Linked DNA regions of Drosophila melanogaster. The protein of the gene in region 2 purifies or fractionates together with the protein of the main gene of each other region. This does not show direct contact. Each region holds a gene or a part of one and is shown on either strand. Other genes may lie near its edges.

What was found.
Region 1: the proteins of Rab1 (region 2) and vib purify together in Drosophila melanogaster (affinity purification with western blotting, with the first as the bait; one study listed by BioGRID). This does not show direct contact.

The regions. Positions count from the first base shown.
Region 1 is NT_033777.3:19,222,706-19,229,926, forward strand, and holds the start of vib (vibrator), read right to left. Parts: upstream 3,947-7,221; 5' UTR 3,776-3,946; intron 3,366-3,775; 5' UTR 3,327-3,365; coding exon 3,310-3,326; intron 1-3,309. Other genes in the region: CG11703 (uncharacterized protein), read right to left, coding at 4,341-5,402; CG5250 (uncharacterized protein), read right to left, coding at 5,587-6,522; Polr2M (RNA polymerase II subunit M), read left to right, coding at 6,793-6,938, 7,006-7,221.
Region 2 is NT_033777.3:21,263,909-21,271,694, forward strand, and holds Rab1 (Rab1), read right to left. Parts: upstream 5,153-7,786; 5' UTR 4,886-5,152; coding exon 4,863-4,885; intron 3,887-4,862; exon of another isoform or gene 3,833-3,886; coding exon 3,712-3,832; exon of another isoform or gene 3,650-3,711; coding exon 3,602-3,649; exon of another isoform or gene 3,546-3,601; coding exon 3,318-3,545; exon of another isoform or gene 3,238-3,317; coding exon 3,040-3,237; 3' UTR 2,121-3,039; downstream 1-2,120. Other genes in the region: AP-2sigma (adaptor protein complex 2, sigma subunit), read right to left, coding at 5,501-5,776, 5,837-5,986, 6,043-6,045; Idi (Isopentenyl-diphosphate delta isomerase), read left to right, coding at 6,308-6,622, 6,679-7,134.

The sequences.
Region 1 (7,221 bases), 2.0 Mb from region 2:
ACAAGGGAAATTGTTTGCTCTTGTTGGCATAATTGAAAATGGAAAGTGATTGTTTGGGGCTCTGTGGTCTTCGCATCCCAAAGAGGTGGTGTGTGTGTGTGTGTGTGGTGTGTGGTGTGTGAGTTGTGTGGGTGGGTCGAGGGGAAAGCTAGTGGCCAAGGCTCTTGTGGTGGCCATTATTGAGCGACGCCCACTGGCCATTGTCGCAATTGAAGGCCGAAGCCAAGTAATAATTGATTTACCCGCAATAAAGATGTCACACAGAGATTGCTCAGTCGATTGTTCAGTGAATAAGGCAGCAACGAGTCATTCGAGCTTGAAATTAAAGCATTTGTGCTAAACCTTCGTCTAACTAACAATACATATAACAAAACGATATTATCCCTGTTAAGCAGTAGGTGTTTGCATTAACATAAGTAGATATTCTGATGTGTTTATAATTTAAGCCATTTACAAGCCATAAGTAATTAGCTATCTAAATAGCCAAACCATTTATATACTATTCTTAAGCGTAACTGATAACTGACAAAGCTCATATGGAAATCAAGTGAAATTATAATATGGCCATGCACCATTGAAGAGAAGTTGTTTTTTAAATCAAGGCCGCATTTCGCGGTTTGCCCCCATTCGGATAATAGCATACTATGTATCTCCATATTTGGAGCCCAATTATGCTGGCGCTTAGTAGCCGGCACGCTCAATTGCCAAACATTTTCGAAACAACCGAAGCCCGAAACACTCGAAACGTGTAATGAGTACAGTGCCGATGTGAAGTAAAACGACGCATTGAAGTCGAAAGCCAAACACTGCGTGTTATCTTATCGCAGTACATAAAAAAGCGCACAAATGGCGGAACTAAATTGGAGCTCGTGCCATTTTCAAATTGATTGCTGGCTGGGCGAGCGGGGAGGGCGAAGGGAGAACTGTATCTGACGGATACATGTGTGGTGTACAAAGAGGCCAATCAGTTTGGGGCAGTAAAAGTCACGCTACAGCTGGTTTATGACGAGCACCATAAAGGACCGACATTGAAAACAACAAGCTTTTGCTTTCAGAGATCAAAGTTGAGACGGTTGAAAGTTGAAAAAAGAAACCTGCACTCACACCAACTTTATTGTCGCAAAAACGTGGCCTATGGACGAGGGTAAATGAATTTGCTTGATGGTTGGCCGTACAGCAATAAGATCGATTTCATTAAATTCTAAGAATATATAATCTATTTGAACCATTGTTTATTTATTTAAACTTTCCAGCCAATTGCTGATATAATCACGTAAATATAGTTAACATTATTGGCTTGATTCCACAATAAATTCTGTATTCTAAATTCACTAGCTATATTTACTATGTCAACAAATAAAGTGCAGCACTTTAAACATTTTGTGAACAATAAAACACAATTTCAGATAAATCATGCCAAGTGCAGACTATCACAATTCGTTGTTGTTACCTTTTCAGCTGCTTTTTATTCATTTGGCCACTTTGCCCGCCGGCCATTCAAAATTGTTTATCAGCCTGCAGCAACCTGTGATGCGGCACGCGTTGCCTTTATTTGCACCTTTGTTTTTCATTTAATGACGATGCTGAAATGTTCATTGCCAAATGGTTTACACGCCAACAGGCGGCAGACGAAAAAAAATGCGAAAATCTGGCAGGAAAAACATTTTGAAATGCAAATGCTACGGGCTTCGGATTCGTGTTGGGATTACGGCGTCGAGAACAATTAAACATTAATGCCTCTCGTGAAGACTGCCCGTCAACTTATGCGTATTTAAATAAATAAAATAAAAAAAATTTTATTGTGCAGTAAAATGCAGTTGCCTTAAATCTTCCATATTCTCTGTTAAAAATTTCGAGCAATACAAAACGTTCCCAGAAATGTATATTATTTAAAGACCGGCAGAAGTATATTTTCACCTATACTTCATGAGCTTTAGTTTACTTTTTGGTCGTTGCACACTTGAATACATATCGTACACCATATGATAAATATTAATGATATAAATACATTTTATGGGTAATCTAAATAGGAATTGTGTACATTTCTGTGAACGAACGCTGTAATGAACTACCAAATGCCACGGATTTTTCGCTAGCTTTTAAAAATTTTCCATTTTAAAATTTTTCCATATCATTTCTTCTTTATGATTAATGATATACCTATGTTTTTGTTGCAATAATATTCTTAAATGATATGTAATTAAAAATAAGCTATACAATACAAGCTTAGCAACACAAAAGTAGAAATCGATTTCTGTGTACTTTAAGCCAGAAACCGATCGTATGAGAATTAATAGCTTACAAAACCGATACACTTAACACCTATCAGTAAAAGGTGCTGTTTATATACAATTGAGTTTCCATTATAAGATTGATGCGAATGATTGCGCATACGAAAAATGATAAGACCGAGATTGTGTGTTTGAGCTTTCAGTTTCAATCTCCTGTATGCAAGCCGCTCGGATTTTCCTTGATTTTCCGACAGCTGTCAAAGTCAAAGCAATTATAAGCCGAGCCATTTGATGTCAGACTTTTGACAATTTCCGTTAATAAATTAAAAGTATCATTGCCAAAATGGGAATGTGAGGGTGGCAAACGTGAGCCATTTGCAAATGAGAAGAATGTATGAGAAGAATGTCACCTGGTGCTTTGCGACCGAAAAGGATTAAAGATGCACGATGAGTCAGTTTAGTGGGGTTAACGCAACGACCTTATCGCACTTAACAACTTGTTTGATTAAAATCGCAGGGCCCAAAGCCGAAAAGAGAGTAATGGGAAAAGAGAGGCGCAAAAGAGAGTGACTCACTGAAAAAGTCGACAACGTGGCGTCGCCGAGCGCCTAAAAAGCATTATCTTTACGTATATAGTATAGATTATCGATGATTCAAAGGAGTTTCCAAAACTAATTAGCAGTGGCATTGGTTATAAGAAGTAAGTTTTGGCTTACGTAGCTCCAAAATGTGACTTAAACTCATTACGTCATCGCCACAGCTGCAAAATACCTGAGATAGAGCGAGATGGAAAGAGAGGGGGTGTGCGGAAAAGGGGGCGTCAGGGGGCTGATAAGAAAACGGTTCTGTTGTTGTTGCGGAAAATGCCCGCAAACTTAAATACAACAAAAGCAACTACTGAGAGAACTGAGAGAGCAGCAACACACGCGACCAGAGAGAAATGGAGAGAGCGAATGTCACGAAGAGAGTGTAAAATCGATTTGTCACAAATAATTTGCGGCTTGCCCAGATTTTTTTTTGCGATTTAAACATCAAATAATCACAGGTAAATGGTAAAAACATACAGTTTTGTACTCACAATTCTTTGATCTGCATCTTTGCCAATTATTATCCGGTATTTTCCTGCTTGATTCGCTGCGAGAGAGTACAAAATACAGAATTAGATTTAATGCGAATTCGCTGGCGGATTTCAACTAAATTGTAGCATTTATTATTTCCAAATATAAATGCACTTGCACTCTACGCTTAACCTTCGCACGCACTTTCTATATTTAATTTACATATATATCTGCCAATAACACTTTGGTGTTTTTGTTTCGCTGCCAAATCGCTGCGCCCGCACTTTTTGTTTATGTTTGGCCAAGCCAACTTTAGTTTAGTTAGCCAATTGGGATTCTAATGCTTTTTCTCCAATTGTCGGCTAAACGCACGAGTCATATGCACACACACACTCTCTTGCAAATACACACGCACACACAGCGGGCGGAATATCAATAGCAATTTATGCGATTTGCCGCTGATTTATTACTTAAGTGATGACGTACAACTGGGGAGTGCGATTGGCCTGGTATCGGGATCGGTACGCGTTTGCAAATCGGCGGCAGTAATATACTAGTAATGAGTTTGTTATTTAGCTACTGCGTGTCCGGAGCGGAGCTAAAGTTCGATGTTCGTGCAAAACACTTCGATTCCGATAGGCGGATGCTATCGATTTCGGCGATGCCCCTTGGTCACACTTGGTGGTGGGCGCTGCCCGTCGCCGACTATCGATAGCACAAGCGGGTTATCTAGGTGTGCGCAGCTTGTTAGGGTGACTCATGCTGTTAAAATTATTATAAAAAGTTAATGAATATAATATAGTTATAATAAAATTATATATAAATCTATAAGATCAAAGATCATCAGTTATCATTTATCATTTGATTATATGAAAAACAAGAACAGAAACAAGATTTAATAGGTTTTTGAAATGTGAAAATGTGGGTTACCCCCAATTCTTATTCGAAATTAAATAACCTAAAGAACACCTACACAGATAGGTAATTTGCACATAAGCAAATTTTGTCTAGAATTCCAAATGGTAATAATAGTAGTAATAGATTCCAATTCTTATAAGCTTGGTGGCTCCGTCATTTCCTCCTTCTTGGCATCATTTCCCATTGCGTCTAGTGCGTCCTTCTCATCCTCTGGCGGTGGCGGCAATTCTAATCCTCCGAGCATACTTTCTGGTCGATTTGGAGATGGCGGTTCGGGAACGAGCTCTTCGGATTCGAGATCTATTTCGCGGGGTGCCTTACGAGTGGAGGGCCTTTCGAAATCCGGATTGCCGTCATCATCGGTGCGCATGCTCAGCGCGAACTTGATAATTCCCATGCCCTGGTAGTCATCGTCGATGGGTATGTTTCGGGCCCACACCTTGCAGCTGAAGAAGGTCTTCGCATTCTCGGGCATCTTGTTCATCTGGATGGCCACCACGCGCGTCACTCCTCTCATGTTCTCGGAGGCCTCGAAATATGGACCCGGATAGAAGACCATTTCGGGCTTGGGCCCATTGGTCACCTCGCAGGTGATCCAAATCTTGGGCGTGTTGCCCAGCTTGCCCACGGTGTCCTGAAGGCTCGCTGGCGCCTCCTTGGGCAAGTCATCTGGCGTGTCGTAGGTCTCCGGCACATAGCCAATAACCTTGTTCAGCTTGATGAAGACGGTCGGCTTTTCGGTGGCGTAGCCCCACGTAGTGTCCTGGTTGAAATCGGCGAAGAAGTCAATGGCATTGTCGTTCAATTTGTTCAGGAAATCGTCGATGCGGTCCGCAATCGGATTGACCTCACTCATGATGTGCGTAAAGTAGGCCAGCACGGATCGATTCTGGTTGGGCACCATCGACAGACCCGGCGGACCCTTGAGCCAGCGCGGCTTATTCGGATCAATGATGGCCAGCATAAAGATGCCCAACCAAAAGGCCACAATGCACACGATTAGGGCGTATAGTACCAGGTAGAAGCCAGTGATACGCATCCAACCCAGAGCTGTGCGTCCGAACAATTTGTGCTCGTCTATGTCGAATATCCTCTTCGACCACGGCAGGTCCTTCTTGCGACGTGTCTCCTGGTTCCGGCGTATCTGCTTGACCAGCTTGTAGTCCCCAGCGGGCACCATTACGTCCTCCGGCATCGTGGCGATCGTTCCGGTTCTGATTTGGCTACTGGTTACGTGGGCGTAAGTGGGAAATATTCGAAGCTTGTAGCTTCGGTTCACTATGAAATCTAAAGCGGAGTAAACTATAATTCTCAAATAGTTTTATTATTTTGTTAAGTATTTATTAATACATTAATAAATCCAGCTGAGTTAGCTGATCTCACTCGTACCACTCGTCCAGCACCAATGGAGTGGTTGGATGAACTGGTGCCGTCAGACGCACCAGCATCTTGACCGTTACCATATGGAGCGGTATGTTCTTAGCCCACGCCTTGCAGTGGATTTGGATGTCCTCGTTGATCGGAATGTTGCTCAACCGAACACTGATGATGCGCCTGAGGCGGGGATCCTCCTTGTAAGTAGGTCCGTCGTCGTCCGAAGACTCGTTGAGAAAGACATTGCCGGAGGTGAAGAGCTCTTCGGCATCGAAGAAGCGAACCGGATGGTAGTCGAACTGAATGTCCACTCTTGGCTCAATAACCTGGCAGGACACCCAGATGCGGTTGAAGCGCTCCTCCGAGCCCAGGCCCACCACATAGTCGAATAGCTCATCCGGAGCGTACTCGGGCAGCGTTAGGGCGTCATCGTAGGTTACCGCCTGGAAGCCCAATGCCTGGGTGATCTTTATTAGAATGCACGGCGTGCCGGACATATAGCCCCAACTGTCGTCTATGTTACAGCCCATCAGGCGCTTCGGGCCTTCGAGACCGTATCGTTTCACCGTTCGCATTATCGCGCGTTGTATGTTAGCCACATCCTTAATGTTATTAGGGCTCCACATAATTTGCTTCTGATCACCGACATGGTGTCCGGGTGCGGTTGCTAGTCCGGGGAACTTTTTGCATCCCGGCCTATCCGGATATATATGATTCGCAATCATCACGAGGGCCAATCCGGTTGTGAATACGCCCAAAACGAAAAAGAATCCGATGAAGTAGAGCAGCAGTTTGATAAAACGGCACACGGTCATCTCGGGATCCGCATTGCGTGTGCGAATGGAACGCCTGTAGAGGTACTCCGCCACACGCATATCACGACGCCGGCGAAGGCGTCCCAATTCGTAGGGACCAGAATAGATTATCGCGTCGTTAGGCATGGAATAATAATATATGGGTACTTAATTATATCTTATGGAAATATATGAGGGATTTCAGAAAGCTAGCTTGGGGTGGATTAGAAATATAGGAATGTATTCCGCACAGAAATCAGAAGCACTAATGTATATTTTTGAATAACGCGCCTTTTTGTCGATAACGATAGGCGTTAAGTGAACTCCTGTAGCCCTTTGCTTCGTAGCAGCACTAAGTATTTTATCGCAACCACAGCACGGTCATACTAAGCTTATGAGCAAAATAAGTGAGCCAAAATGGGCGATAATGTGATTCCTGCTCCGCTTAGCCGTATCCCGGGCACCAGCCAGGCGAAGGAGAAGCACAGCAAGGACCTGAAGACCCTTACCTATCCGCAGCTGCTGGAGATTAAGGACAGGCAGTCTCACTTTCTGTCGTTCAAGTGAGTTTTAGTTTCCACCTGTGGAGTTCCCTGTGAATTTATCTTATTTAATTTTATCTCTATTTAGAAAGCGTTTGCACCAACTGCCGGACAAGGGAAAGCGTCTGCAGGAGTCGTACGACAAATTACTGGCCGAGATCAGGAGGCGGGATGAAGTAGAGGAAGCGACTCGAATGTTGAGCGGTCTCAACATTGTCGAAAAGGGCAAAATTGCTCTCAACAATCTGGAGTGGAATGGCAGAAACACGGACGAGGGCGCCCATGTGGACGACATTCTGGACAG
Region 2 (7,786 bases):
GTTGAGTAGCTTTTAAATATTTGTTTGTTTCCTGCCCGCAGCGCGATAAAACTTTGCAGACAGCGCTAGTCACTCTAGTCCCCGCTAAAACTGATAATATGATTCTTGCAGTCCCATCATCGCCATATCCACCTACAGCGTGGAACCCTACGGGGACGGAACCGATGCTCCCGTTTGCACCACCGCCGCCGATGGTTTCTGGTCGATCTTCTACTTCGTGGGCTGCATCACGGTGTTTTTCTTCCTGCCCTTCGGCATCCTGGTTCTTCTATACGCGGCCATCGCTTACAAGCTGCTCCGTCCCAACAACGCCTTCCACCGACCAACCTCCCCGCAGCCACAGCAGCCGTCCGGCGGAGCCACCAGTGGCTCCTCACAGGTGCCCAGCACCAAGGGTAACAGCCATCAACAAAGCAACGGGATGAGGAAGCATCGCAAGCAGGTAATCTTCATGCTGGTGGCCGTGGTGTCTAGCTTTTTTGTTTGCCTTCTACCCTTCCGGGCCTTCACCCTCTGGGTGATCCTGGCCAGCGCCGAGGATGTCGAGGGTCTGGGCATTGCCGGCTACTACAACCTGCTGTACTTCTCGCGCTTCATGCTCTACCTAAACTCAGCCATGAACCCGATCCTCTACAACCTGATGTCCTCCAAATTTCGCAGCGGCTTCTGGCGGCTGCTGCTCACTTGTCTGGGCCAACGGCCACATCACCACCATCGCCACCACTACCATCAGAGGCAGCATCCAACGGCAGGCGGAAGTGGGCGCAATGCGTCCACGCGACAGGAACAGGATGCCGAGGAAGGAGCTGCGCTGGCGGGAACGACCAGCGCCCGACATCCACGTCGCACACTCCGCCGCGAGGCCACCTTCTTGATCAACTCCATATCCACCTCCTCGGGTACGGATCGCACCACATCATCATCGGCGTGGCGCAGCAACAGTCTGTCCATTTCCGGTCTGAGCGAACGGGAGCGCGGCATACTGGGAGCCGCTATCATCGGCACAACGGCTGCCACCGTTACAACCGCCTGTCTGCAGGAGCGACGCGCCAGCAAGATCTGAATCCCATCCTAAATATGCATCCTTCGAGTCCCTGTCCACTGCCAGCAACCGTTAAAGTATTTAGTTGAATTCCAACAGCAAATAGTCATAGTTTTAGAAAAATTTTGTTGTAAAGACTGAAGTACCTCAGAAGAAGTCAATAAACGCAAGAGAAGATGTTTTTGAAAATCGAAACTAATTTTCTTCGGGCTTCGAAAAATTGAAGTTTGCAAGATTCGAAATAGCTTTAACTTGATTTTTAGAACAGAAACGAGTATGAACTTTTCATACGATCATTTTTATCGCACCTATTGTGATTTAATGGGAGATAGGAGGAGACCAATTGGGATATGCAAAAATAACGCAACTATTATTATCTTTGTATGTACGATTAATTTTAATCTCTAAAGAGTCAAAGTACTTCAATAATTTTACAAATCTGTCGGAGGGAATGTAAGCTTGCCCAAATCAAATGGAAGCTACAATCGTTGTCAGATGGAGATATTTTATGTTAGAAGGAATATCTCGGATACGAAATATTTAATTTAAAATTCCTTTTCATATTATTCTTTTTAAAAAATAATAAGTCCTGTATGTATACAATGCAATACATAAAGGTAGAGTATGTCCTAAAAAGAAAAATATCTTTCCGAATATATGTATATAATTTATAAAATAAGTGGATACATACATTTTTCGTAAGTATCCTAGAAGATTTGCCAACGTATCAGGTTTACAAAAATTGATTACCTATGTGCAGTTAACTTAACGGCAGTGCACTAACTAATCTGATTTGTGAAATAATGCAGATATAAAACATTTTTAAATAGAAATATATTTATACATCTGATTCTTCAACATCTAAGCACTCGTATAGAGTGCTTTGAATATATTCTAAATACATTGGCATGATCCAAGTTTTAAATCAGCCAAAAACTTGCTCCAAAAACAGGAAGATTCTACACAAATCGCCTCGCCCTTAAAGTTTCTGCCAAGTATTTGGGTGCGTGCGGATCAGTTCCGGCCTTCACTTAAGTTTTGCAATCTTTCCAAAGTCAAGAAATAAAACAAGTCGTTTGTAGGCATCGGTACAGATCGATTTTATTAGACTCAGGTCAAATTAAGATTCAAATTCGGGCGACAGTAAAAACCGAAACTAAAGTGTGTCCTTGATCCCAAACCTTGCAATTTAAATACGCACACGCAATAATTTTTATTAAACTTCATCGCTATGTCGTCATTATTACACTAATTATGTGCCTAAACAAATCCCTTGTGTCACACGATAATTCAAACACACAATCGCTCGACGTTAAATCTAAAAATGTTCGTTCGGTTTTGGGTTCGATTTACATAAAATTTCAAGTGACGATCACGTTCGCTAGAGATAATATGTTTAGAAAATTGTATTTGTAATTTAAACACATACATATGTATACATAGTGGTAAGTAGTAGCTGACACAGGACAAGTACAATTGCTCCTGCCGTCGCCTGCGCTCAATTAATGTGTAGTTAATAGTACATATTAGTTTCGGTATGGTTTCGCGCTGCTGTGATAGGTAACTTCTTATTGTAGGTTAAAGTAATATTAGGTTAATTGCTACACCGAATTTGCTTGCTTTGCACTACTTATGAACAGAACTGCGGAAATCAGAGTGACGGTTAGTATTAGGATCGATGTCCTTGTTGCTCGAGTTTAGTTGGGGATGTCTGAAGTCTGGATCGGGATCTGGATCTGGAGCTGGTTGGCTACGTACCTAATACATATTTGCTTAAATTGTTTATCGAATTGGATCACGGTTAGGATCATACAAACGCACTACTCGTCATTCCTCACCATTATTGTTATTACAGAATTAGTTATTATAATTACGATTTCGTGGATCCGCCATCGGTTTCGCTTGTTTTATTATTATTGTGTGGTTTCCGTTTTAATTTATTATATTTAAATTTTGTTTAATTGTATAATAAAATAATGATTCACAATCAGAGTTATTCAGCAGCAACCGGATTTGGTGTTTTCCACTGGACGTCCTTGATCGATTTTCACTTTGCTAGCGTTGTCAGTGGCGCTGGACGGCGGCCCGACGCGATTCTTGATCTCCGCCGCCATCGTCATGAAGGCCTGCTCAACGTTGGTGGCGCTCTTGGCCGAAGTTTCAAGGAATGGAATGCCTAACTGGGCGGCGTACTCCTGGAATTTTGGAAACAAAGACCCAGATTAGTATATACGTGCATCTATGATTCCCAGGACTAAACCAGCAATATACGCACCGCAGCTGTGGTGTGGTCGACTACTTTCTTGGTGGTCAAGTCGCTCTTGTTGCCAACCAGCAACTTGTTGACATTCTCACAGGCATACCGCTCGATCTCCTCCAGCCACTGCTTCACATTGTTGAAAGACTCCTGGTCCGTGCAATCGTATACGACAATGATGCCATGGGCGCCCCTATAATATGAAGACGTGATGGTGCGGAAGCGCTCCTGGCCAGCAGTATCCCACTGTAAACAGACTAATTAGCTCTGGACTAGATTGCCTCTGGCGTTTTTATGCTTACGATTTGCAGTTTAATGGTCTTTCCGTCGAGTTCTATAGTCCTGATTTTCTGCAAGATAAAGGTTTATGAGTCAGACATAAAGAATTTTCACAAATTTCCGGTTGGCTTACGAAATCCACTCCGATTGTGCTGATATAACTTTCTGTATATGTGTCATCGGCAAATCGCAACAGAAGACAGGACTTTCCAACGCCCGAGTCTCCAATAAGCAGCAACTTAAAGAGATAATCGCTGTGGATTTGGAGATAGTTAATATAGTTAATGTTATAAAATAGTTATATAGTTAATAAATTATAGTTAATTTAATAGTTAATGATATAAATTTGTGCTGCGATGTGGGAATAGTTCAGACCCTATGCTGAAACATATAAAACTTCAGAGAAATCTAAATAAAACTGATGATGCATATTTGCGATAGTGATATTACAAGACGAAATGTTTAAAATCAGAGTGTAAAAGGTTTAGTATACATTTAAAGGGAAATAAGTTGGATGACAATCAGTTAGAAATCATTGATTCAAGCAAAACATTTAGAGAGGTGTTTTGCGGGCATAGTTTAGTCGGGCAGATACTAATATATACATAAAACCGGTTTGGTTTAGGCTTTATCTTATCATGCTATGTCCAACATCAACCCCCAATTGCTGAATGATATGCGATAGTGTTCCAATCCTCTGCACACATGTATGCTGGCTATTGAAGGAGGCTTTCTGGAGAGTGCGAACCAAGATCGGTTCAGATTTAATTGCCTTGAGTGAGAGCGGCAATTAAGTAGCACTGGAATGGCCTTTGATTACGTAGCACTGCGCTGGGGGTGGGAAAGGCTCTCCACGCAGGTGACTCATCCGCCCGACTAGCGATTTGGCCCGTCAACTGGGATCTCGCTGTATATATGTGTGGACTTTATACATATGCAGATTCCGATGAGAGTTTCGAACGCGCTTTTCATCGCCTCGCCCGTGGGCACTACATTGAAATCCAGCTGAAACACACAGTTTTGGTTATGGTTTCTCGATTGGGTCGGTTGTTAGGTCCGAGTGTGTATTTTGTTTTTAGCAAATGGTCTGTTTTTTTGGAGTTGCCAACGAGGGCAAAAGGGAGTGGAGTGGGGCTGCTCGATAATGAATGGGAATGAAACGTAGCAGAAATGACGTCGCAGAAAAAATAAAAGAAACTATTTTCGAAGGCCAGAAAAGGAAGTGGAAGCCCAGTCACTGTTTTAACTCCAGATAACTGCGCATAATTACGTGTGACGACTTACTATTCCGGATTCACAGATGACATTTTCTGGCTTTTTCACAAGATTATATATTTGCCACGAACAAATATTCGATTTCTGGCCCTGGACTGGCTGCTGTTCAGAGTGTTTTTATTTGATTTGCGCGTTCCGAAATACTGGAAATCGACACGCACTCGGCTTGTGTTGTGTTTTGCAGTTCGCTATTGTAATTATTGCAGCGAATTTAAATGGGAAATACGTTTATTTCCACAAATTCGACGGCCGAGAACGAGAACAATGGCGACTGAAAAAATGACGAAGTGGCATTAGCGGCAGTGTTGGAAAATGCGCGGGGCCCTCTTCCAACCAGGGCTACACATTATCTTGTCTACGGAGGTGAGTGGGCGGAACCAGAGAAGAAAATATATGGATTATCGCCAAATGACCCCTAACACACCCCATATAAAAACAAAAATACTTAACTTTTGCATACAATCTCTTATGGTACATCATTTGTTTCTAAACACGGCCTTTAACATTTGAGTGTTTGCATAGAGAACACATTAAAGATAATAATAATAATACGCGTAATAGTATATGAAAGAAGATTCGATAGGCGGGTGTAGCGCCTGGGGGAATGCATCTGGCAGATCCGATATACATATGTATGAATTGGGCCGCTACTCCAGCGAATTTAGCGTGAGCAGCTGCTTGAGCACCTTCGTCTGCGAGGTCTCCCGGATCTCGCCCGCCAGGAACATCTCGTCCACCACACTGTACACCTTGTAGAAGTTGAAGACCAGATCCAGCTCGCACACATTATGGAAGTATTCGTTGAGCACCTCCACGAAGTTGTGAATGGCCTCCAGATAGCACAGGTTGTTGTCGTTTACGTCCACGCAGATGCAGAAGTACAGACCCGCATAGCGTCGGTAGACGATCTTGAAGTTGCGGAACTACAAAGGCAAAAGTGTGATAAAAGGGTGATTCAAAAGAACATATGGACTCGATCCCACCTCCACAAAGTTGGTGTGCTTGGCATCGCGCACTGTGACCACGGCATGCACCTCCTCAATCAGTTTCTGCTTCTCGTCGTCATCGAAGTTCATATACCACTTGGCCAGGCGAGTTTTTCCAGCTCGGTTTTGTATAAGTATGAATCGTATCTGGGCGAATGGAAGGTCAAATAGGGGTCTAAGCTTATAGCTGGCTAGTTGCTTACCATTTTTCGGGAAATTGGTTAAACCGTTTCCTGCTTATTTACAACTTTTTTTGTTTCGAGAATGGGGGCGAAAAACTGATTATGAGCAAATTGTGTATCACTGGGACCAGGGCTACCACTACTGTTCCGGAACAGCTGTTACCTCGTCAGTGTTGCAAACAGTTCGCGCAGAAAGCAAACGAGTTGGCAGACCCGCGCGCTGTATTACGAAGTTTCACTTTCATATTTGTTTTGGCCACCACTCCAAACTAGTCATTTACCAAAAATGTTGGCCTCTCGCTTGAATCTCCTGTTGCCCCGCGTATCCTGGCTGCGCGGTTGCTCAACGACAGCGGTGGGCCAGAAACATCAGCGCCAGGTGCCCACGGAGTTCGCCGTACACGATCCTCTGCAGGCTCACGCTCTAAAGGAACAGTGCATCCTGGTTGACGCCAACGACCAAGCCATTGGGGCCGCCTCTAAGGCAGACTGCCACCGTGTGCATCCAGAGACGAATGATGTTAAGCTCCATCGCGCCTTCAGTGTTTTTCTCTTCAATTCTCAGGGAGAGATGCTAGTGCAGAAGCGATCGTCTCACAAGGTGAAATTAAAGGGTAATCCCCTTATTACAAGGTCCATAATCCTCTGTATCCTTAGATAACCTTCCCAAACACCTACACCAACGCGTGCTGCAGCCATCCGCTTTACGAAATCGAACAGGAACGTCAGGAGCGCAACGCACAGGGCATCCGTGTGGCCGCTCAACGACGTCTCAACTACGAACTGGGCATTCCCACAGAGGAACTGCAGCCACAGGACTTTCGCTACCTGACCCGCATCCACTACGCAGACACGGGCGACGGCGTGTGGGGCGAGCACGAGATAGACTACATCCTGTTCCTGCAAAAAGACGTGACGCTGCGTCCAAATAGCAACGAGGTCAGTGAGGTGCGCTACTTGCGCCGCGATAAGATCGACGAGGCGGTGGCGAAGTTTAGTGCCCCGCTGACACCCTGGTTCTCTCTGATTCTGCAGCATCGATTGAAACTCTGGTGGGACAATTTGCACCAGCTGGAGCAATTTGAGGACTTGAGTAATATTCAGCGCTTTTAAGTGTGCTAACCAACCAAAAATACACGTAATGACGTCTAAAAGGGGCTTTTGTTCGTTTGGGTTTCAAATTCGCTTTATTCAAATGGAAAATAGTGTGTGTCTGTGTGCGGACAATGGGCACAAAGCGGATTTTATGCAACCTCCGCGGGTCGATCAGTTCAGTACAACGCTTTTGTATATGTAAATATAACAATACATATATAGTTTGTATAGGCGCACGATATTCAATATGTTTCATAGCCTAACTAATGTGTTTGTATGTTGAATATCAAATAACTAATTAGCTTTTAAAATGATCACATTACGTTTCCCATAATCATCATCATCATCGTCATCGTCGCAACAAGAATAAATATGTACAAAAGTACGACTACAGGCTAACAGAGACACAAACTAAAAGTATTGATTCTAGCCTAAATACAGAAGAAACAAACAAAAGACAAGCTGCAGCACTTAACATTAACATATATCGCTTCGGGAGCGAGTTCGAAGCGCGCGCTTCGAGGCGTGAAGTGCAGACCCCGGGCGAATCCGGAGTCGACGTTCACGAGGCACCACCTTGGCACCGTTTCTCTGGGTACTCGAGTAAATAAAGCAATTGCTCGGAAATTCCAACAACTTAAAGCTAGACCCTGCAAACTTCGATCGATGG